Linked DNA regions of Mus musculus: regions 2, 3 and 4 are each reported to be linked to region 1. The links are microRNA targets in miRTarBase. Many come from high-throughput screens and were not tested one by one. Region 1 holds a microRNA gene; each other region holds the end of a gene's coding sequence.
The links. Region 1 holds the annotated microRNA mmu-miR-223-3p (UGUCAGUUUGUCAAAUACCCCA, at 3,236-3,257, shown strand). A microRNA usually pairs through its seed, bases 2 to 8, with sites in the 3' UTR of a target mRNA and lowers its output. Matches are read on the target gene's strand: a 7mer-m8 pairs with bases 2 to 8, a 7mer-A1 pairs with bases 2 to 7 and ends in A, and an 8mer does both.

Region 2: the mRNA of Dnm3 is a reported target of mmu-miR-223-3p. The part of its 3' UTR that is shown has no 7-base or 8-base seed match.
Region 3: miRTarBase lists Ptbp2 as a target of mmu-miR-223-3p. Seed matches in the 3' UTR shown: 8mer at 3,323-3,330.
Region 4: miRTarBase lists F11r as a target of mmu-miR-223-3p. Seed matches in the 3' UTR shown: 8mer at 3,708-3,715.

What each region holds. Positions count from the first base shown.
Region 1 is chrX:96,239,649-96,244,724 of GRCm38, forward strand. Mir223 (microRNA 223) reads left to right here and starts at 3,169; the gene lies at 3,169-3,278. It overlaps F630028O10Rik (RIKEN cDNA F630028O10 gene), which reads left to right and starts at 278. Exons shown (of 3, transcript NR_030718.1): 1 at 278-348; 2 at 765-865; 3 at 1,390-3,994.
Region 2 is chr1:161,987,804-161,992,879 of GRCm38, forward strand. It overlaps Dnm3 (dynamin 3), which reads right to left. Exons shown (of 21, transcript NM_001038619.2): 21 at 1-4,288. The coding sequence ends at 4,219. Among named protein-coding and RNA genes, the nearest start is that of 4930558K02Rik, 11 kb to the left of the region's middle.
Region 3 is chr3:119,716,035-119,721,110 of GRCm38, forward strand. Ptbp2 (polypyrimidine tract binding protein 2) reads right to left here. Exons shown (of 14, transcript NM_001310711.1): 12 at 4,755-4,971; 13 at 4,573-4,650; 14 at 2,708-4,423. The coding sequence ends at 4,294. Among named protein-coding and RNA genes, the nearest start is that of Ptbp2, 65 kb to the right of the region's middle.
Region 4 is chr1:171,462,250-171,467,325 of GRCm38, reverse strand. It overlaps F11r (F11 receptor), which reads right to left. Exons shown (of 10, transcript NM_172647.2): 8 at 4,711-4,723; 9 at 4,386-4,437; 10 at 2,733-4,267. The coding sequence ends at 4,232. Among named protein-coding and RNA genes, the nearest start is that of F11r, 27 kb to the right of the region's middle.

The DNA.
Region 1 (5,076 bases):
GGCAGAACACAAAGGAAACTTGTACTTCCTGCTTTCCCACTCTGTAGCATGGGAAGTCAGTGTTTTTGGAGGTTGGTTGAGAATGGGTGGAGACAGAGCAGTAGGGGCTATTGCTGCATTAGCAACTACTCCTTTCACAATAGCTCTGTTTTGTCATTTTGTACCCAGATTTCCGTTGGTTAGCCTCAACTTTATCTTCCTCATTTCTGTTTCCTCTTCATGACACCAAGAGTCCTTCAGAACATGTGACCTTCCTGCTCACAACATAAAACTCAGCTTTCTGTGGCCTCTATAGTTCGGCTCAGCACCTATATCCCATCCAAGACAAAGGCACCACTTCAATGACAGGTATAGTATCTACTTGTTCTCTTAGATTCCCATGCTGAAACAGTGCCCACAACAGCTTTCAGTGTTCTGGATATGCCTAACTGACTCTCAGATCCCAGTTACTGATAAAGGGTCAAAGATAAGACTGATGAAGGTTTCTATTCACTTTCTATCCATGTGATAGAGAGAAGGGACACAAAAATTTCTAACAAATGATGGCTTTTAGAAGATAGTCATGTAGAAGTTAAATGCTTATCAGAGCCAGGAGTTAGGAGTTCTAAATAGCATTTTAAATTTTGTTCTATATCTGTTACTTTTCTTTGGGTGAGTTGTTTCTATAGTCTAGCACTCAGTGTTTGAGTCCCTTTTGCAGAGAAGAGAAAGACAAAGGTGAGATGCTATTTAATGTCTTAGCCTCTATGTCTCTTATTTTGAAGGTTACCAGTCTTTGGTTGGGAAAGAAGATGAGACTGCTGCTTGAATGTACACCTCTAGGCAGAGCTGAACATCCTTTAGAAAACTGCTGGTGGTCTGAAAGGTATGACTAAAACATGAAAGGTTCTTTTTTTTCTAGTTTTGTAAGTCACTACTCCAATTTCAGAATTTAAAAGGCACATAGACGTGAGGACAAATATATATGTGAGGAACAGAGGTCCTGAGAGAAGAAAAGGTAGTTTCCCAAGGCCACACAGAAAACCTGTACTACAACTCAGTCTAAGCCCAGGACAGTGTCCTTTTTCTTCTGCTTTAGGAGGACTGAGATACCAAGAAATAATGGGTATCCTGCAACTGAGGCAGGTGACTCTCCTTATATTGAAAAAAATCTGGATATTAAGACATGGTCCTGAGTACTTCTTTATCACCAAATATATTTTCTGATATGTGGCTTATTCTGGACATTTATAGATTTTTGGTAAAATCTTATACCTCTTTTACCAAGCTTATGCCTTTCAATTTGCGTCATGAAGACTGACTATGTAGTCATCTATGTCTTCATTCTTATGGGTCTGACTAACTTTAATCAACTAAACTTGCTTCTCTTATATGTATTCCTCTGAATAGGTGTGAACTGGAACATCAAGAATGAAAATGAAATAGTCCCTTACCCAGCTTAAGGACTGACTTCTCCATCAATCCTGGAAAACAGTATTTATAATAATCTATTAAGTCAGTGCACTAGAACTCTTTAGCCCCTTTCATGGCTCTTTTCCAGTGTTCTTGGGTTATGTGAGGTCGGATAGGGCAATTGAGAGGCTATGGATATCTCTAAAGTGTCTAGCTCTCCTTACAGCAGATGATAAGCAGAGATGCTGTCAAGAAAACCAAAACCAATAACCCATTACTCCTTTCTCTTTTAATCACTTTCCTTGGCTTTTACTAGCTCCAGAGTTGGAAATAAGGTCTCTTTAAGCTCCCTTCTAAAAAGCTCTAGAAGTCTCATCCAACATTTTTCAAGACCTTGAGATGTAAGATTTCTGTCTCTATTTCTAGAGAAGACAATTGATGCCCAAGAAAACTTTAAACCTGGGTAGGACAAAATTTGATACTATCAAGCATTTTGAATAACAGGATCATGATGCTAAACAAAATATCAAATAAATTGAGATGGCTTGGCTCTTCTGGCAGCTGCCCTGGTAGCTATGAGTTCAAACATCTTAATACTTCCCTGCAAAATCCACTGCCTGTTTTGCTCTTTGTTGCTGTTGCTCTCCCTTTTGCAAGGGAATATAAAAAGCAGACAAGAAAAAGTGGTGGGGTGGACAGCCAAGGGACACAATGAGCTGATGGATGATATAATTCCCAAACTGTAAACAACTTGTTTTATGACCTTTTGGAAGTCTTTCCCTAAACATCAGACTTCATTTTCTCATTTATAATCTTGAATGGGTAAAACTAGATGACTTATAAGGGCATTTTAATATCATTAATTCTTTACTGCTTATGAGAAAAGGCAACCAAGTTAGACAAAGCCGGCTAAGGCCACAAGAAATTACTGTTTCAATTCTGTTAAATAAATTATCTATCTTTTCCCCTGTTAGTATCTATCTTATATGTTTAATTTTAAAGCACATTTTAGTCACTTTTATTTATGTACAGGGGATCAAATACAGAGTATTGTACAAGTTAGGTAAGTGTTCTGCTACTGAGTTTTATCTCTAGATCTTGATTGTTTACTTTTTTGTTTGAGAAAGGGTAGTATTATATAGCCCAAATTGACTTTAAATCTGAGGTTCTCCTATCTCTGTCTATGAAAGCTTGTATGCACACATGTACTATCATACCTGGCTATAGCCACAATTTTTGAGTATTTGTTAGGTAACAAACACTAAATTAATGGCTTTATATGCATTATTACATATTCTTGCCATGATTTCATGGGCATTTTTGTGGCTATGGAAGAAGTAGGTTTCAGGGACATAAACTCATTTATTTAAGGTGTTCAGCTAGTTAATGGTAGAGGTAGAATTCAAATCCAGTTTTAAAAATCAACATCTAGGTACATAACCAGGGTAAACAGAGCATACAAGAAGTTGATAGGAGGAAGGAACACATAAATTGTCCCCGAGGACAGAATGATGACAATTTTTTCCTGTTTCAGCTGAATAGAAGAGTTAATTGAGGCTTGGGCCACCAGAATCTCCAGACAAACACCCAGGATCCCCGTTTTTGTTTGGAGCATTAGCGTGTTTTGTTCACTTCCCTCTTTTGGTGTGTCTTAGTCAGTCATGTTAGTGTCTGCCATTTGTCTCACACTTAGGGTAAGATATAATCACCCTATTTTTTTCTCTTTCCAGTTGCACATCTTCCAGCATGTTCTTGCTGCCCAGTGGAGGTTCCTGATCTGGCCATCTGCAGTGTCACGCTCCGTGTATTTGACAAGCTGAGTTGGACACTCTGTGTGGTAGAGTGTCAGTTTGTCAAATACCCCAAGTGTGGCTCATGCCTATCAGCTCCAGGTCCAGGACAGAGCACATAGCCTGCTGCCTACATATGAATGCTTATGAAACATGAAGCTCTCTGGTGTTATTCTATGTCTTTAAGGGAACTATAACATTTATTCAGAGAACATCAGAGTAGGAACGATGCAGCTCTGGGGTCTACAAGTCTGGTATGCATCTGTGTACATTGTGAAAATGCCATGGACTGCATAGTGGTACATGAGGGATACAGGGAATGAGAGTATTATTTGATTTATTATTAATGTCTTCTTTCACTTTCCTCTTCTTGCAGCCAGAATAGCAGAATTTTCATACAAGCATCATGAATTCTATGAGAAAGTAGGAAATAAATATCCACTGTCTGGCCTTCGGAGCACATCTTAAGCTACCTACATTTTCTCTTTTCCACTTTGCTTTTATCATTCTTAAAAGAACCTTCTTGTTTATCTTCATTGGGCTTTCAGACACTACCAAATTCCAATTCCTCTTGGCACTATTGAAAGTTAACCTATACTTTTCTTTACTCCTTGGCTAACCACATACTGGTATGTGCTATTATATGTCCTACCATCCAACACATCTTCTAAAGTTGTCAGTGAATTTTTCCAGGGTATGTTCTTGAATTCCCTATTATATTGTAAGAATCTAGAGCTTATTATATTCAGTTGATTGCTGTCTCTCATACCATTGTCCAACATTTTAATTATTAATAAATATTTACCAATTAATTGATGTTTTACTAGTCAATAACCTTTTGCTATATAGGTCAAATACCAACCAGGGTTTTGCGAAAAAAATAAATCAAACTGTGGGTATTCTAATGCTATAGTGTATACAAGATGGTAACCAAAATGGATTTTTTTTTCCTCTGAGAAATAAGATTTAGGTCTGGGGCAGGAGGGCAAGAAGAAAGAATAGACTCAGAGGGAAAAATTTTTTGAATTATTGGTTTACACGTGTCTTTTTAAACAGAATTTTCTGAGCCTTTAATATTCTATCATTGCACTGGGGTGAACTTCTAATATAGAACTATAAAATGAAGCATCTCCAATCCCTCTCTCCAGAGTCTAACATTTCATAACATATATTTTGGCAAGCTTCTTTAGAGAAATTCCATACTCTCCCTTGGTTCTGGAGAAATTCCATACTCTCCCTTGGTTCTGGAGATACCTACTTTCATTCTTTAACTTTTCACCCACTAACCAGTGACCTAAATAACAAGACCCATATTGTTACCCCAATTTTGCTCAGAATTGTCGGAGGGATGCATCTCTATCTAGGGATGACTTACTGGCTTACCCTGCATGGAAAAATACCATTGTTTAGGGACAAAGACCATCTTCAGAAGATGTCTGCAGCAAAGTACACACACTGCTAAAAATCCACAGGTCTAACCTCCAGTCTTTGTTCTGCCATTGACTTGATGTATGTTACTTTTGACAAACCTTCATTTCTCTCTGGGCTTCACTTCCCAATTTGTGGTATGTGAATGTTCAGATAAGTAATCTGTAAACATTTTCACATGCAAGAATAGGAGACATTCCTGGTGGTTCCAGTGTTGGGGGTTCCCTGAATTTGTGGCTCACTTTACTAGGGCAATTTCAATAAACATTCTCTCTTCAAGCCCAGGGATTAATTCTAAAGAGCAGAATGAGATAAAGGGTGTTTTCAAGGCTTTCAGGGCTGGACTCACAGATGTTTCATGAAGGAAGCTGAGGTTTCTACTGGGTGGTACCCAGGTTGTGGAGGCTGGTAAGTGAGATGGAGAAGAAGAAGTCATCTCTGACACTAATTATGCATAGCTAGCATT
Region 2 (5,076 bases), not on the chromosome of region 1:
TGCCTTGAGCTGAGCCACATGTGAAGCCCTTGAGCAGTGGAATGAGGAGTCTCACCAGTATACCAGTACTAACACATCTTAAGCAGGAGATTCTTTGAGGCTCCTGTCTCTTGCTCTCCACACATACAGATACTACTACATGTATGTATATATACACAACTAGCAATGCATATACTATATATACTTCAAAAATATTGTTAAAGTTTCACATACAAAGCACCACACAATTTTAAACACATCAGCTAGACAGACAGCCTATTATTATCTAGAAGACAAACTGAGTTCTTTAGAAAAGACTAAAGGACCTGGTGAACTATCCATTATTTCTCTAAAGTTGGCTTCTTTCGCAGGAACTCTGAGCTCACAGCTACTAGTGCTGGGTGAAATTACAAACTCATGCTTCCTTCTTAAACACAGACATCTCTCACTGAGTTAAGACAGCTAGGATGTCTGTTTAGGATTTGTTACTCATCCTGCAGAGATTCCCATCAATTTAAAGTGATTGCACAGTTTCCCGAATGTCAAAGGTTTACCTGTCAGAGTAGATAACATACCTTCGAGGAATTGAGTATCCTGTCCCCCACGTGTTTTAACAGGTTTGCTCAGAAAGGCCTATTACTTTCATTGTGTTGCTGACTTCGCATTCTTTTAACTTTACTGAAGAGAACTCAGGACAACACAGATTAACTTAGCTCTTTGTAAGAGTCAGCTCAACAATCCCCAGAGAACACAATACTAACTAGGGACCCTGGAGAAAGCTTCCAAATCTTTCTTACATTTTTTAAAAACCAAAGTCTCACCCAAAAAGTAATGCCTTCCTAGGTAGCAGTGCTGTGGGTTTCAATGCAAAGGACCATAGACATCACGCTACTTTGTCATGGTTATAGTTATGGTGGTCATCATGGTTATCATAAGCTTTGTGCCCCTCAGAATATATACAGAATAGGTTAGGAGATCCTGTGTTTCTCATGTATGTTATGAGAAATGAACTACCATAATCATATTATGGCAGGTCTTCCCAACATATATATTAACACAGTTGAAAATATATTCATACTCTTACATACTGAGCACAGGCTTACACTGATATTTATATTCATATGTATATATATGATGCACATAAAATCACATTCATGCTTAATGGGGTTTTAGTAATTGCTTTTGAACCTACTTACTCAAAAGGACACAAAATACGTGGTCACTATGTACATAGTGTATTCCTAGAGACATGCAGAGAAAACGAGTGCACAGAAAACAACAGTTGTCACGGACTGGTGTCAGGTCCCATCTCATGGTTTAGAGTATGGATACGGTCTAACAATCACAAGTGAATCTATGTGGCTATCTCTTAATTCTAAATTTAGAATGCTTATATCACAGGAACTGTTTGGTTACACTTTTGGATAGAATGGGTATGTATCTGCAGAAACAGAGAAATTGCCAGTAAATAGACCCCACTGCTCTTCTATGTTATAAAACACACCTAAAGGCAATATCCAAGAAGGTATTCTTGGTAGATGATTTTTGGAAATATATCTGTGCTAAATCGATCCTGTTTCATAGTCCATCCACAAATGGTTGGCTATTCCAGCTAGCCAATCTGCATGCGTAAGTTAGCATGTGACAGGAAAGCTGGCTTTTACTTATCAACCATGTACCTTTTCAAATCCTAAAAACACTTTTTAAAGTTATTATTATGCTAGACAAGATAAAACTACATCTATTGCGCTGACAACCTTGGTGTCCTCAACCAGGAGGTTGACTGAGAGATTAGAAACTGAGTGCGAAGCGAAGGTCCTTCAAGCTTACATTCCCGTCCTGAGGCCTGACGTGCACTCCGCACACGCCAGTGAAACCTCAGGCTTCGTTCATGTTGGTGTCTGCTGTTAGCAGAGTGCAAACCCTCTGAACTGCAGCAATCTGAAAATATTCTGGGGTGCCAGTGTTGAACTTCTGGGGAGGGGGTGGTGGAGTAAGGGATTATAGCTCGGTAGCAAAGAGAACAAAACTGTCCTGACACAGGGAGACATTTGGGACAAGGAATCTGTGGATCAAGAAGCAAGAGCTAAGGATGACAAGTGCCATTCCGTTGCTCACGACCGTCTGGGATCAATGGGAAGAAATGTGGAGAGACAAATCCCCAGTTTTCCTTGACATTGGTTTGTGCTGATTCAAGAACACACCAGTGGTTTTCTGAGTTAGTTTCTTCCAACAGAAGGAAGGGTTTGAAATATAGCAAGATGTACAAGCAGAGGAGGGACAAAGCCAAACCCTGAAGTATCTATTTCCTTAGCTGCCTGTTTTAGAGAATTCAGAGGAAGAAGCAAAGGGGGCGCTGAAAGGAGGGATTTGTGGGGAGACCTCATTGCCCACGAGTTGTTTGATTATAAACATTTGCTTAATGTATGTTTTTTTTTTTCATTTAGTTGGGACACTGTTTTCAAAGACAATGTGCATGTCTTATACGAGTTCCATTCACGGTTTTTTTTTCAACAGGGAAAAAAATTTAGAGACATTAGAGCTCTTCTATGTCACTTAAAGGTTGAAAAATACCCCTTTGTATGTTGCATGTTCTCTAATTTTTGCCAATTAAAAGTGGGATCTAACCCATTAGAATAAGTTCAATGCAGTGGCATTTCACTTGGAAAAAAAAACTTTTTAAAATAATGGTTAAAAGTTTTTACATCATATTTTATAGCCACTTGCTTCGGGTAGAAACTGCACAGGAAATTAAAGTGAAGTTTGCATACAAATCATGTTGACTGCCTTCAAAAGGAGATGTTGCAGTTAGTAAAACCTGATTTACCTTTGTGATTATGGAATAATGTCTGGGGACGCTACAATTCGGTGAAAGCCCGCCCGCTCTGCCGTCTGGGTGCGGTTAGCAGACAGAATTCCATTTGGCTTCTAGCTGGTTCCTATGTGCTAACCATCTGGTCATAGGTAGTTCAAAACGTAGCCTCGAGGTTGAACTAATAACCTCTAGGCTAGGCTGCTCATGTAAAGTTTAGAGATCTGAGAGGCTACAGACTTGTTCTGCAGCTCAGTATGGCCAGGATGTTGTTTTTCAGGAGCAAGCTGGAAACACGTGGGCCGTGCTCTTAAACCATGGCATCGCTGATGGATCACCTTCCCATACCAGGTTCCATACTTGCCATGCAATTGTGTCAGAGTAGGCTGTAAGATTTAAGGGAGTCTGGAATGGGTGGAGACACTAAAGTCGTTTTTTAAAAAGGATTCTTGTATAATCATTTATATATAAACCATAGAAATCATGTGCTAGCATACATTTAACTTTTTTCCAGCCAAAATAATAGTCACAATAACTAAACGGAGTTAGTTACCCATGCTGTCCAATCAACTGGAAAATTAAACACTTGCAGTGTCAGCCTTCCTTCATCATAGCTCACAAAGAGGTAAATAATAAGATAATAAATTCTATCTTCTCAGACACTTTTAGAATGGCAATTAGTTTTTGCTTCTTCTTTGAACTCTGAAAGGAGCCAAATCTATCAACTGATTGCCAGTACCCCTCACGCTTTGCCTGGATGGTGCTTGTGCCTCTAGCACAAAGCACAGCACACAAGCCCCAGGAGAGGCTCTCCAGGGCAAGCCCTGGGCACTTGCCCTTTGCAGACTGCCTCGGGCTCCTGAAAAGCTTTCATCTTCAGCAATGCTGATTTAAGAACCTTGCTTTTTTTTTTTTTTAAAGCAGTCCTATGAAATAAGGGGGGTGGGGGGAAGAAGCCTAAATAAGCAATTGCGGACTGAATGGTGGCGTTAACATCAGAAGGCAGAGTTTCTGCTGCCCTAAACAGAATGTGCGGAAGGTCGGTATGGTTCCAAGCTCACACTCTTGTATCTGTTAAGAGTCGTCATAAGCTTCTCTGTAGACAGCTTAGAAAGCTCTTCCAAAGCAACTTCTGATATATGTTGGGTAGACAAATGGTACCAAAGTATAGGGCTGCTGTATAAAACTACCTTGGTCAATACAACATATTTAAGCCTCTCTACAGGTTAGCAGGTTTTCGGAGTCAAACCCCAAAGGTCTGACATACCATGAGCAATGAAGATGAGTTGGTGAACACATTAGTAAGACTGGCTACTTGCCTATAGAGGTCCATACATGCGACTACTCATGGTTGAGCTGCAAAGGTTACCGAATGTGCTGCGTTTGCATAAATCATTAGTGGTTAATTGCCATGCCGGACACTTCGTTTAGTCTAACAGTGAGGATTCTAGTGGACGGATTATAGTGGGGCGAGTTGGTGATGGGGGTGGCCTCCGGCTAGAAAAAGAGAAAGAGACAGGTAAGGGAACAGGTGTTGTAGCAGTAGTTGTCTCTTCAGAACACTGACATAGAGCCACCATGCGCATGCACATGCAATTCCGGCCAGGAAGAGTGGCCACACACTGCAGCGACTCTCAGACTCTCCTCTCTGAGTCATCGGGGTAGCCCAGTTCCCAGTGGAAATTGTGTAGTTTTTCGTTATGCAAATCTTTATGAAAACCAAAGAGATTTTATTTCCCCCCAATACGAGTGCAAATGTGGAATGACTTAGAGGCCACTGTGAAACATCACTGCTCGGATCTGTGGCAGTCAAGCACAGTAGTTAGAGAGAGTGGCCTATACTTAGGTATACCCACTCCAGGAACTGATAAGATGTATTAAGTCTCAGCATTGGTTTTCAGTGTTCCCTGTCTCTGCCAGGGTGTTATCGACCACTGCTCTCTGCCTTAGCAGTGGCTTTCCCCAATCTTTTCCCTTCTGCTTTTAATGCAGACCATCAAAAACAGGAAGCCAAGGCTTTTGGAGTTTTTTTTTGCAGTGGTTGTGAACAGGCTCAATGGGTATGAGTTTCCTGGTAAGCTGCGTGAAGGACAGCTCCTGTTTGGAGTCTTACGGGGTTCGCCAAGATTCGTAGTAGTACTGGCTGCTATCTGGTTGGCTGCAGTGTTTCTGAAAGTCATCTGCACGATATTCAGTGTTATTGTACCCAAAAAGCTCAATATTATCAAGTCACATTATTTATCTCTTGAAATTATATTTATGTCACAAATATGTTAATGAGCCTT
Region 3 (5,076 bases), not on the chromosome of region 1:
TGGATAGTCCATCCTTTCGTCTTAGCTCCAAACTTTGTCTCTGTAACTCCTTTCATGGGTATTTTGTTCCCTATTCTAAGGAGGAATGAAGTATCCACCCATTGGTCTTCCCTCTTCTTGATTTTCTTGTGTTTTGCAGATTGTATCTTGGGTATTCTAAGTTTCTGGGCTAATATCCACTTATCAGTGAGTGCATATCTAATGACTTCTTTTGTAAATAAAGAAAAATCTAATAAAAAAAGAATTAAAAAAAAAAAGATGGGAAAGAGGTAGGAAAGGGGGCAGGCAAGGCAGTGTACACTCAGCAGAGCCGAGTGGGCAGCTCTGATGCATGCTGCTCTCTCCATCTTTACACACTTGTTTTTTACTTTGAATTACTGATAATGTAACTTTAAAATGTACACTACTCACAAAATCAAACTACGAAGATAACCTACAGGAAATAAAGTCTATGTAAGACTTCTTAAATGACTATGTCACGGAGACTGACAACCAGCCAACACTCCAATACCAGTTTAATAATTTTTCACATTTCTTATCAGACTTTCTAGAAAGCAGTGTTCAGCTGAAATAGAACCCTTTGTGTGCTCAATTTCATGAAATAATTCTATATTCTTATGCTCTGAATGGAGACCGATGTTCCCATCTTGTATAAAGTCCTGGGTTACTCAGAAAATTATGCCGTTTTTTCCATCTTATGCTGGAAAAATCTTTAGTATGGTTAGAATTATCTTCAAGTTTCACAGCAAATTGTAAAGGCTTATACATAATATAAGCCTTTTATATGGAGTCTGTAACTCCAAAAAGCTATACTTTATTACTCAACTATCAAGTAGTTCAAATGAAATTTGAGGCTGGGCATCCTTGAGCTGTGGGATGCATTCTGTCATGGCACTCTACTGTTAAAAAGTAGCATTTAGGTGATTTTAAAACATTAACAAACATTTCTTTGCAACAGTAAGAAAGACAGTGGGACGATCTGGAGTGTTGATAACTACAGGCAAACCTGGCAAGGTAGGAATACTGGCACTTAACATTTTTTTGCTTAACACAGAGTGCCACAGCTGGGACAGCCTACCCTTCCTGCATCAGCTTCCTGAGTACTGGGTGTAACTTTATGGACTCCATTTTACTTTTAGACTTAGGAAAATTGTCCTTCCTCTGAAACTATACATCTGGTAGTTTAAACAGATACATATGAACTAATTATGCCAATTAACATAGTTTCTTATCCTAACCTTAAAAACCTCAATATTGCTAATAAAATTTTTACCGATTTCATAGAACTCTGTTACCTTCTTCCTGGCAAAGGTCTTAGTGGATTTCATACAAAGAAATAGGTGTCCAACATAAAATGTAATCAATATGAATCAATCCCCTTCTTATGTAGGTGATTTGAAATACATTGTCAAAAGCAAATCTTGTTTATTAAAAGAAAGTTTTTCTCTCAATTATAAAAATTCAATTTATTTGTTTCTAAATTCCCAAGAGAAAGCTTTTACTAACAAAGCAGCTGAACACTGAAAATGCTGTAAGGTTAGCTAGTGTGAGAGACTGCGGCAGTGAGCATAACAACATAAAGCAACAGGACTTTTACCTCATGTTCTTTTGATAGAGTGCTATTCTAATCTAATGCACTGAACTTTAAGAATTCTAGATGTCAAACTTCCCACTTCAATATCTTGATACTTTTAAAATAAGACCATATTGATGGAAATTATTAAAAGAGGGTAAAGCCAGCCACACCCTGGATGGGCAGGAGGTGGGGAGGGACCTTGCTCTCTGTCATTAGAGAGCGATCTGGAACTCCTCCCAGTGTCTTAATGTAGCCTAGAACCTTGTTTTTCCTTTTAAGCAAGTGTAACCTACAAATAACTACCTGAAACAAAGAGCAACATCTATTTTCAAGTATTGGAGCCTCCATGCAATCCCAAAGAAAACCACACACAGTTCTGTCCCAATGCTGGTTGTAAACTAACAGAATTAAGGCATAGCTGATCTTCCTGTACCTGGTCACAATACTGCAACATCACTTTAAAAACAAACAAACAAACAAACAAACAAGAGCAACACTCAAATTCTTAACTCTGAAACGGAACCATTCCTACTTACTGTACTTCTTGGAGTTGAGTAGACTCTTGTGAAAAGAACAATACTTTTAAACATGATTCTTCATTTTTATAAAATGACCCTAATGTCCAGTGTGTGACTTTGAGGTATACATGTATTAACACCAAAGTTAATTGATACCAGTATTTGTATATATAAAGTTACCAAAAAAAAAAGAAAATAGCTTGATGACAGCATCAGTATAAAGAGTGAGGAGGACAGCACCTGCGGTTTAAAAGCCTGCATGTATATACCCTATGGCACTCAAATAGAAGCCAATGCCATAGTCCTTTCTTTCCAGTAACAGCAGAACCCTTTGTTAAAACTCAGTAGTAGTCTAAAATTAGTAGGAAATCTAGAGCAGACACAAAGATGAAAGATGAAACTGCAGCAAGAGAGCATGGCAAATCCAAAAGACCTATTAGTGCATAAATCTACGGGAAAACAACAACAACAACAAAAGAGATAGAGAGAATTAACAAGCTACAATAGAAGTTATGTCTTTAAAGCAGATTATAAACAGGGTGGGAAATGTTTAATATGTGTCCTCCTGAAAAAGCAGTTACCGACTTTTGCATTAAAAAAAGGAACAGCTGGTGCATTTTCACAGCATCTGGATTTATTTATGGTATAAAGCCATAGGATTGTGATAGTATTACTCCTTTCCCACCCTGGCAGAGTAAACATGAACTCAGAAGCACAGTGGAGTGAAAACAAAGGAGAGAGAGAAAAGGCAGCAGAGAAAGACAGAAAAGGTGAATACAGAGCTACAGAAGTGTTTATTGAGCATGCTACAGAGGTAAGCAGAGTACACACAAAGTGAAATTAAACAACCATCAAACCTCCCAACTTTGTTAGAAAATTAATTTTTAATTGTGCCGCTTTCAAACTATACTGAATTTTACATTTCTAAAGATGTAAAAACTCAACTAATAGAAAATATACATGACCATTCTGTCTACATAGATAACAGAATCTATGAATCTTGAAACTAAGTACATCAATTTCAAAAAGTATTGGTCATTTAACAGAATCAACAATTCAGATTGACAAGAACTGTTCAAATAAATTTGACCTGTAGATTCTGAGCCATGTTTTTATTAAAGTCAGATCTATTCCTAAATACAAAATATTTTGAAGATTTATTAAAACTGAATATTACAATGCAAGGTAAATTAAGACTAAAGGCACATAAACTTTGGTCCCACCTGGTTGTCAGTTTTAGAAAACTGCCACAAAATTAATCTTCCTGCAAGTTTTCGCAGTACACTTTCTTTGTCTTTGAAAAATACATGCACCAGTTCCTGAACTAGCTAGACCAGTCTGCACATGCTCAGAAATCCACAACCATTTTCCAAATCTTAATTACAAACTAAGGATGGCAATATATATTTAAATGCACGTAAGTCATGTCAACTTCAAAAACATCTACGAAAAATATTCAGCCACAAACAAGACATTACTTAGTGCTGACATTTATATGACACGTCCCACAAGAGTGTGTACAAAAAGGTTAAGGTTCCACAATGCTTTCCACATAGGGCTCAAACTTACAGAAATCACTTGTCTTAAGAAATTAATACTCTGCATCTTGTTAATTTTAACTAATGCCTACATTCATAACTGAATCTAGACCAGATTTGTGAGATACAAAAGGCCAATGTTTTCAAAAGCAATAAAGCCTAAGATAGTAAAAACTAAAAATGCTGTTTTATACTCTCAGTATCAAGTATCTTATTAGATTAAATAGAAAGAAATGTGATAAGCCAATAATTCAAAGAAAGTTCCAAGCAGGAGAAATAAAAACTTAACCTTTTGACACACCCCTGCCCAAACATATTTTAATTCCCACATAACGATGTGCCCTAAACAACCAATTCCTTTTTCCTAGTAAATGCAGAATAGCAACACTAGTTTTCCTTTGTAAGGCACGTATGTCAACTAAGTTGGAAAAAAAAAAAAAAGCAAAATTAAACTAAAAATTTAAACAGACAAAAATGGCTTCCCTATTGAACAGATGAAACACAGCAGTTAGCAACTCTGCCTTTACATATGCCATTTCATTTTATAACCAAGGAATGATAACAGCATGAAAAAAATCAAACTCTGGTCCCCACTTTTCTGAACAGTCAATAGGTGATGACACCAACAATGGGATCTGCCCGCCATCTTCATCTCCCGTGCTTAGATTGTTGACTTGGAGAAAGACACTCTCAGATGATGGTTTTCTCCAAGGTTATAATTATGAAGATCAATCAAAGCCTGAATAGCTTCCTCCACTGTTGCCATCTGAAGAAGAGCCATTTTGTGATCTCTTCTGAAACAAAATTATGAAATTAGATACTTCATAAGAAGAGTTTAAACACTGATTTTCACCCATTTGAGGTAAATAAATAGATATATTTGAAAAAAAAATTTAAGTTCTATCAAGTCACACATTTTAAGACAAAGAAGCTTGCTTACTGAAAAAACTTAAATGCTTTCACAGTGCCCCCGGTGTTGGCAAACAGAGTTCGCAGATCCTCTTCTGCTACAGAAGGGCTAGAAAAAGAAGACAGGGAGAGTCCAGATGAATACAGATAACCATAGACCTGCTTGGCTGATAATATGACTGTGCTCAGTCATGAGCTGAAATAGATACTCACGGGATGTTAGACAGGTGAAGGGTAGCAGAAGGAGGGAAAATGTTCTGAAAGTTTTTGGATCCCGGTTTTTTAAAACGGTGCAGTGGTGAATTCCCAAAATCTTTTGTTAGCCCTTGATCATCAAGTCCCTCTCGAGGTAGTTGCACAGTCTGATGTTTAGAGAGAGTAACACGAATAATTTTTCCATACATCTTCTGCCCATTAAGATGATTCATGGCTAGGAAAATAAAGAATACCTATTAAAATATCAAAAGTTTAGGATAAAAATACTTCTAATTTGGAAATTCTGAATTTTCTTACAACTTAAAAATCATGAATTTAT
Region 4 (5,076 bases), not on the chromosome of region 1:
GAAAATGTGTGTGATGGATGCGGGCGCCCAAGCCCACCCCAGAGGCTGCGGGAGGACACTGGGCATCTTCCTCTGTCAAACTCTGTCTTATTCCCTGGAGACAGGGTCCTTCACTGAAACTGAGGCTCACAGCCAGTCTCCAGGAATCCTTTTGTCTCTGCCCTCCTTAGAGCTGGGATTACAGACCACATTTGGCTTCCATGTGGATGTTCCGGATTCAAATTTAGCTCTTTGTGCTTGTTCAGTAAAAACTCTTACCCACGGAGCCATCTCCCCAACCCCATCCTAGGGGTGCAGCTGTCAGAAAAGCATTTTTTTTTGTTTTCGGTTTTTGTTTTGAGACCAGACTGCGTTCTCCACCTGCCTCCACCTCTTGCGTGCTGGGATTAAAGGCATAAGCACCACCACACCCAGCTAATTTTTTTGTTTTGTTTTGTTTTGTTTTTGTCAGGAAGTTTTAAAACCGAGTAAAAGAAAAGAGAAGAAGTTATGGTGCACGCCTTGTATTCTAGCAAGAAGTGTTCGGAACAGAAAGAGGAAGGAGGTTTGCAAAAACTGATCCACTAGCCAATTCAGTTCCAGGTCAGCCAAAGTCACACAGTGAGACCCAGTGTGAAAGAAAAGAGAAGTGAAGGGGAGAGGAGGGGAGGGGAAGGCAGGGGATGGGATGGGAGGAGAAAAAAGGAAAAGATGGTAAGAGAGAAAGGAAAGAGAAAAAAGGAGAGAAAGCCCTGTGTTGTCATACACTTGTTCTGACAGAATTTAGGAGGCAGAGGTAGGCAGATCAAGAATTCAAGATCATCTTCAGCTACAGTGAGTTCAAAGTCAGCTTGGAGAACATATTAATCCTTCAAAAAAAGGGGGGGGGAGGGGGAGCTGGAGAGCTGGCTCAGCGGTTAAAAGCACTGACTGCTCTTCCAGAGGTCCTGTGTTCAATTCCTAGCAAACACATGGTGGTTCACAACCATCTGTAATGGGATCTGATGCCCTCTTCTGGTTTGTCTGAAGACAGAATACTCATATAAATAAAATAAATCTTTTTTTTTTAAAAAAAGGGGGGGGTGGGCTAATAAGGGGAAGTCATAATCATGTCTTCTGGTAGTAAGTTGAGCTTCCACTCTTTCTCTGCTTAGATAGTGCTTTCTGTTGTCGTGGCAACTCTCAGCTATCTGCTAGGAGGGTTCATTATTTTGCAAGCAGAAATGTTGTGAGGAAGGCAGCCATCTTTGATCCAACCACTTTCTGCTAGGCAAGATCACCAAGCAATACTACCCATAAGGGACTTTGTAGGGCTAAGAGAGCTTGTGCTTATCATAGAGAGTTCACCAACGCAGGGTTTATATGGGCTCCTTTGGGGACGGGCTTTCCAAAGTGGCCTAGGATTGGAGGCATTGTGTGGTCTGATCTTTAGGGCAAACTCAGGATTGGTGGAATTTTTTTTCCATATAGGGTGGGGCCTGGCCATTCTCCTGCCTCAGGCTGGGAATGGCCATTACAGCCATTAGAAAACAACCCTTGGAGCAGTTAGAGAAGCCTGGGAGCGGGGCTTAGCCATATTACCGGCCCCACATTGTGGGTCTAGAACTACAGTTACAGCTGTTTTATCCTTTCTGGCTATGAGGAAAGACAGGGGCGGGGCCTAGCTGCTGGAGCTTCTCATGGGGAGCGGGGTGTGTGTGTGTGTGTGCTGGCCCCCTGCAGGGCTTGAGTTTATAAAATATACAAAATTTGGTAATCTCTAGGTTCAGTTGAGAGAGGTGGAAAACTATTGAGGAAGCCACCTAACACTGATCTCTGGCCTGCACGTTCGTCGCACCTACATGCAAGCACACACCTGCAAGAACAGACATCACACGAAAGCAGAACAAGAAAATACCTCGTTAGAGACTCTTTGGCTTCTGCTTTCCAGCAAATAAATTCAATAGACACACAGAACACAAAGACAGCTGTGTTTATTACAGTCTCATCAGAGGACGGTCAGTGACCATCAAAAGACCACCGTAAGCCGGGTGTGTTTAATCCCAGCACTCGGGAGGCAGAGGCAGGCGGATTTCTGAGTTCTACACAGAGAAACCCTGTCTCGAAGGGAAAAAAAAAAAAAAAAAAAGACCACCGTAGAGGAAAATACCCTAACCCTTATTTCTTAGACAGGCTTTATTATGTTACTATTATTTTAGATGGATCCCCAGTGAATTTTGTTGTTGGTTGGTTTTTCTTTTTAAAAGATTTATTTTATGTATATGAGTACATTGTAGCTGTCTTTTTTAAATTTTATTTTTCTTTTTACTTTTTTGATTTTTTTTGAGACAGGGTTTCTCTGTGTAGCCCTGGCTGTCCTGGAAAACTCACTCTGTAGACCAGGCTGGCCTCGAATTTAGAAATCTGCCTGCCTCTGCCTCTCAAGTGCTGGGATTAAAGGCATGAGCCACTCCTGCCCGGCTGTAGCTGTCTTTTTTTTTTTTTTTAAAGATTTATTTATTATTATACATTAATACACTGTAGCTGTCTTCAGACGTACCAGAAGAGGGTGTCAGATCTCATTATGGGTGGTTGTGAGCCGCCATGTGGTTGCTGGGATTTGAACTCAGGACCTTTGGAAGAGCAGTCAGTGCTCTTATCCACTGAGCCATCTCGCCAGCCCTGTAGCTGTCTTAAAACCAAGAAAATCAACCCTGTCTCGAAAGTAAAAACAACAACAACAAAAAAAAAAACATAAAAAAAATTCCAAGTATGGAATGGAATAGTTTAATTAAACTGTCCCCATGCACCCTGAGGAAAACTGTCACTTCATTCCCAACCGAACCCCTTTTCCAACCAATCGGTCCTTACTTCACAGATCCTGCCAAAATAAAAAACAGCCGAGTTGGTTGAAGTTTGAGACGTCTGAAGCGCAGCGTAGTTATGAGAGCCTCGTTCATTATTCTTCTTCTCTATAGAAGGGCCCAAATGGTAAGAGAGCAATGACCATCAGACCTATCTTGCTAATTGCTGCTTTCTCAAACATTTGATGATGGAGGAACTCTCCCTTAGAGGACGACTTGGGGAGGTCCACCATGAAGGCCAGGCAGGAGAGTGCACAGACACTTCCTCCGCCCACTTCACGAAATCCCCCTCCAGCACAGCAGCACCTTCCTCGCCCACGCAGCAGCAGGAGGCTACGGAACAGCTCTGATGCCCGGAAGCTTTGCCTTGAGTTAAGAATATAGTCCTGGGAATCAGCCATGGGTTGCTGGGAAGCAGAACTTTTGTGTCTTTTCTTGTTTATACAAAGTAGCTCACAATCCCTAAAATATTCCATGTTCAACAAAAAAGAAGTCTGTCAAATGAAGTTTTTATTTCCAGCAACATCTGTCAAATATAAACACACAGAAACACAACCTTGCCAAAGAGCTAGAAAGCCCTTCTATATAACAATATCAATTTACAACTCTCTCTCTCTCTCTCACACACACACACACACACACACACACACACACACACACACACACACACACACACACACACACGAGGCCACCAAAGAGCCAAGACTATAAAGCTCGTATCTTCTCCATCCACACATATCTTCAAAGGGTCCATGCGGTAGTTCCAGCCAAATGAAGAGTGACTAATGGCCACCAGTTCCAGCCTTTTCTTTAGATCACTTTAAATCTTTCTTACTCCAAGTCTCTTGGGAGCTAACAGAGCTCTCCCACCTCGTACGGACACCATGTCAGTTTACTTTGAATCCAGGAGAATCCCAGTGGCACATTTTGTGGAGACAGAAGAGAGGCTCCGAAGACTAGAGACCTGAGGTCACCATCCTCAGCCCCTCCTTTCTGCAGCTCCCCCTCTAGAGTAGCTGGCACCCCATCCGGGGAGGAGAAAGCAGGGAGCTAGGCTTAAAGTCCTTATTCAGAGGCCTTTACAGCCAGGTATTGGTTTGGGTTCCTGTCAGCCCAGCCACTATTACTGTCTAGTCTAGGACTCTTGCCCAATCCCACATAGGAATGGGGAACGAAAACTTTGTAATTAGTCTCGGGCCACCCAATGGTGGTAAGGAAAGGAGGGAGGGTGGGAAAGAGGAGGGGGAAGTAGATGATGTTTTTAAATTTATACCCTAGCTAGAATAAAAGCAAGGGGTCCTGTGGGACCTAGAAGACATTGAAGGCATCCTGTGCAGCTACAGCCAGCAGGGGGCTGGAACCTGTAGCACCTGAGTAAGGCAAATGGACAACGGAGGAGCCGCAGCAGGTCACACCAGGAACGACGAGGTCTGTTTGAATTCCCCCTGGGAAATAAAACATCCAGTCAACTTCACAGTCTCGTTTTGCTCACAAACACGCAAAGAGGCTAGAAACGGCCACTTGAAGCACAAGGCCTCCCCTCCTCGGGGCAGGTACACTCACCTCACTTCGAGTACTGGGCTGGCTGTAAATGACCTTCTTACCCGGTGCAGTCCTGTGGGCAAACCAGAAATGGGGGACACTCAGGCCCGAGTAATTGATGTATCTGTGCACTATCAGGGCCAGAATGGAGGCATACTTTGCAGAAAAAGTGAGTGTTTAGAAGGAAGGAAAAGTTCAGGAGACAAGAACAGAAGTCTAGGCTGTCATCCTCTCCAAAACAGCTACTTCCACCCCACCCCTATTCCCACCCCCAGGGCTCAGCTCAGCTCCAAACCACACACATCCACGATCTTATGAAAGAACCCTGGGACAGCACCATGCTCACCCTTTCTTTGTTCCTGAAAAAGAAAAAACAAAAAAAGTGTACTGACAATTCTGGAATTTCACTTTCTTTACAAAACACAGACATAAGAATATGCTTTTGTTTTAATCACAGATGTGAAGACATGAGGCTGAAGCAGCTGATTATGATTTGCCTCGTGCTCTGATAGAGGTGCGGTTTTGCCAGCTGCAGATCAGTTTTGACATTTGGAATTCTGGGAACTTTTTAGAGGGTATACAGATGCTAGGGCCCCAAGAGGCAGGGCAGCTGGCTGTTGATCAAACAGGAGTGGGGGGGTGGGGATTTGGAAAGAAATTAGATTGGAAGATTTTTTTTTTCTACTTTGTTTCTCTCCTATCTATTGTTAGG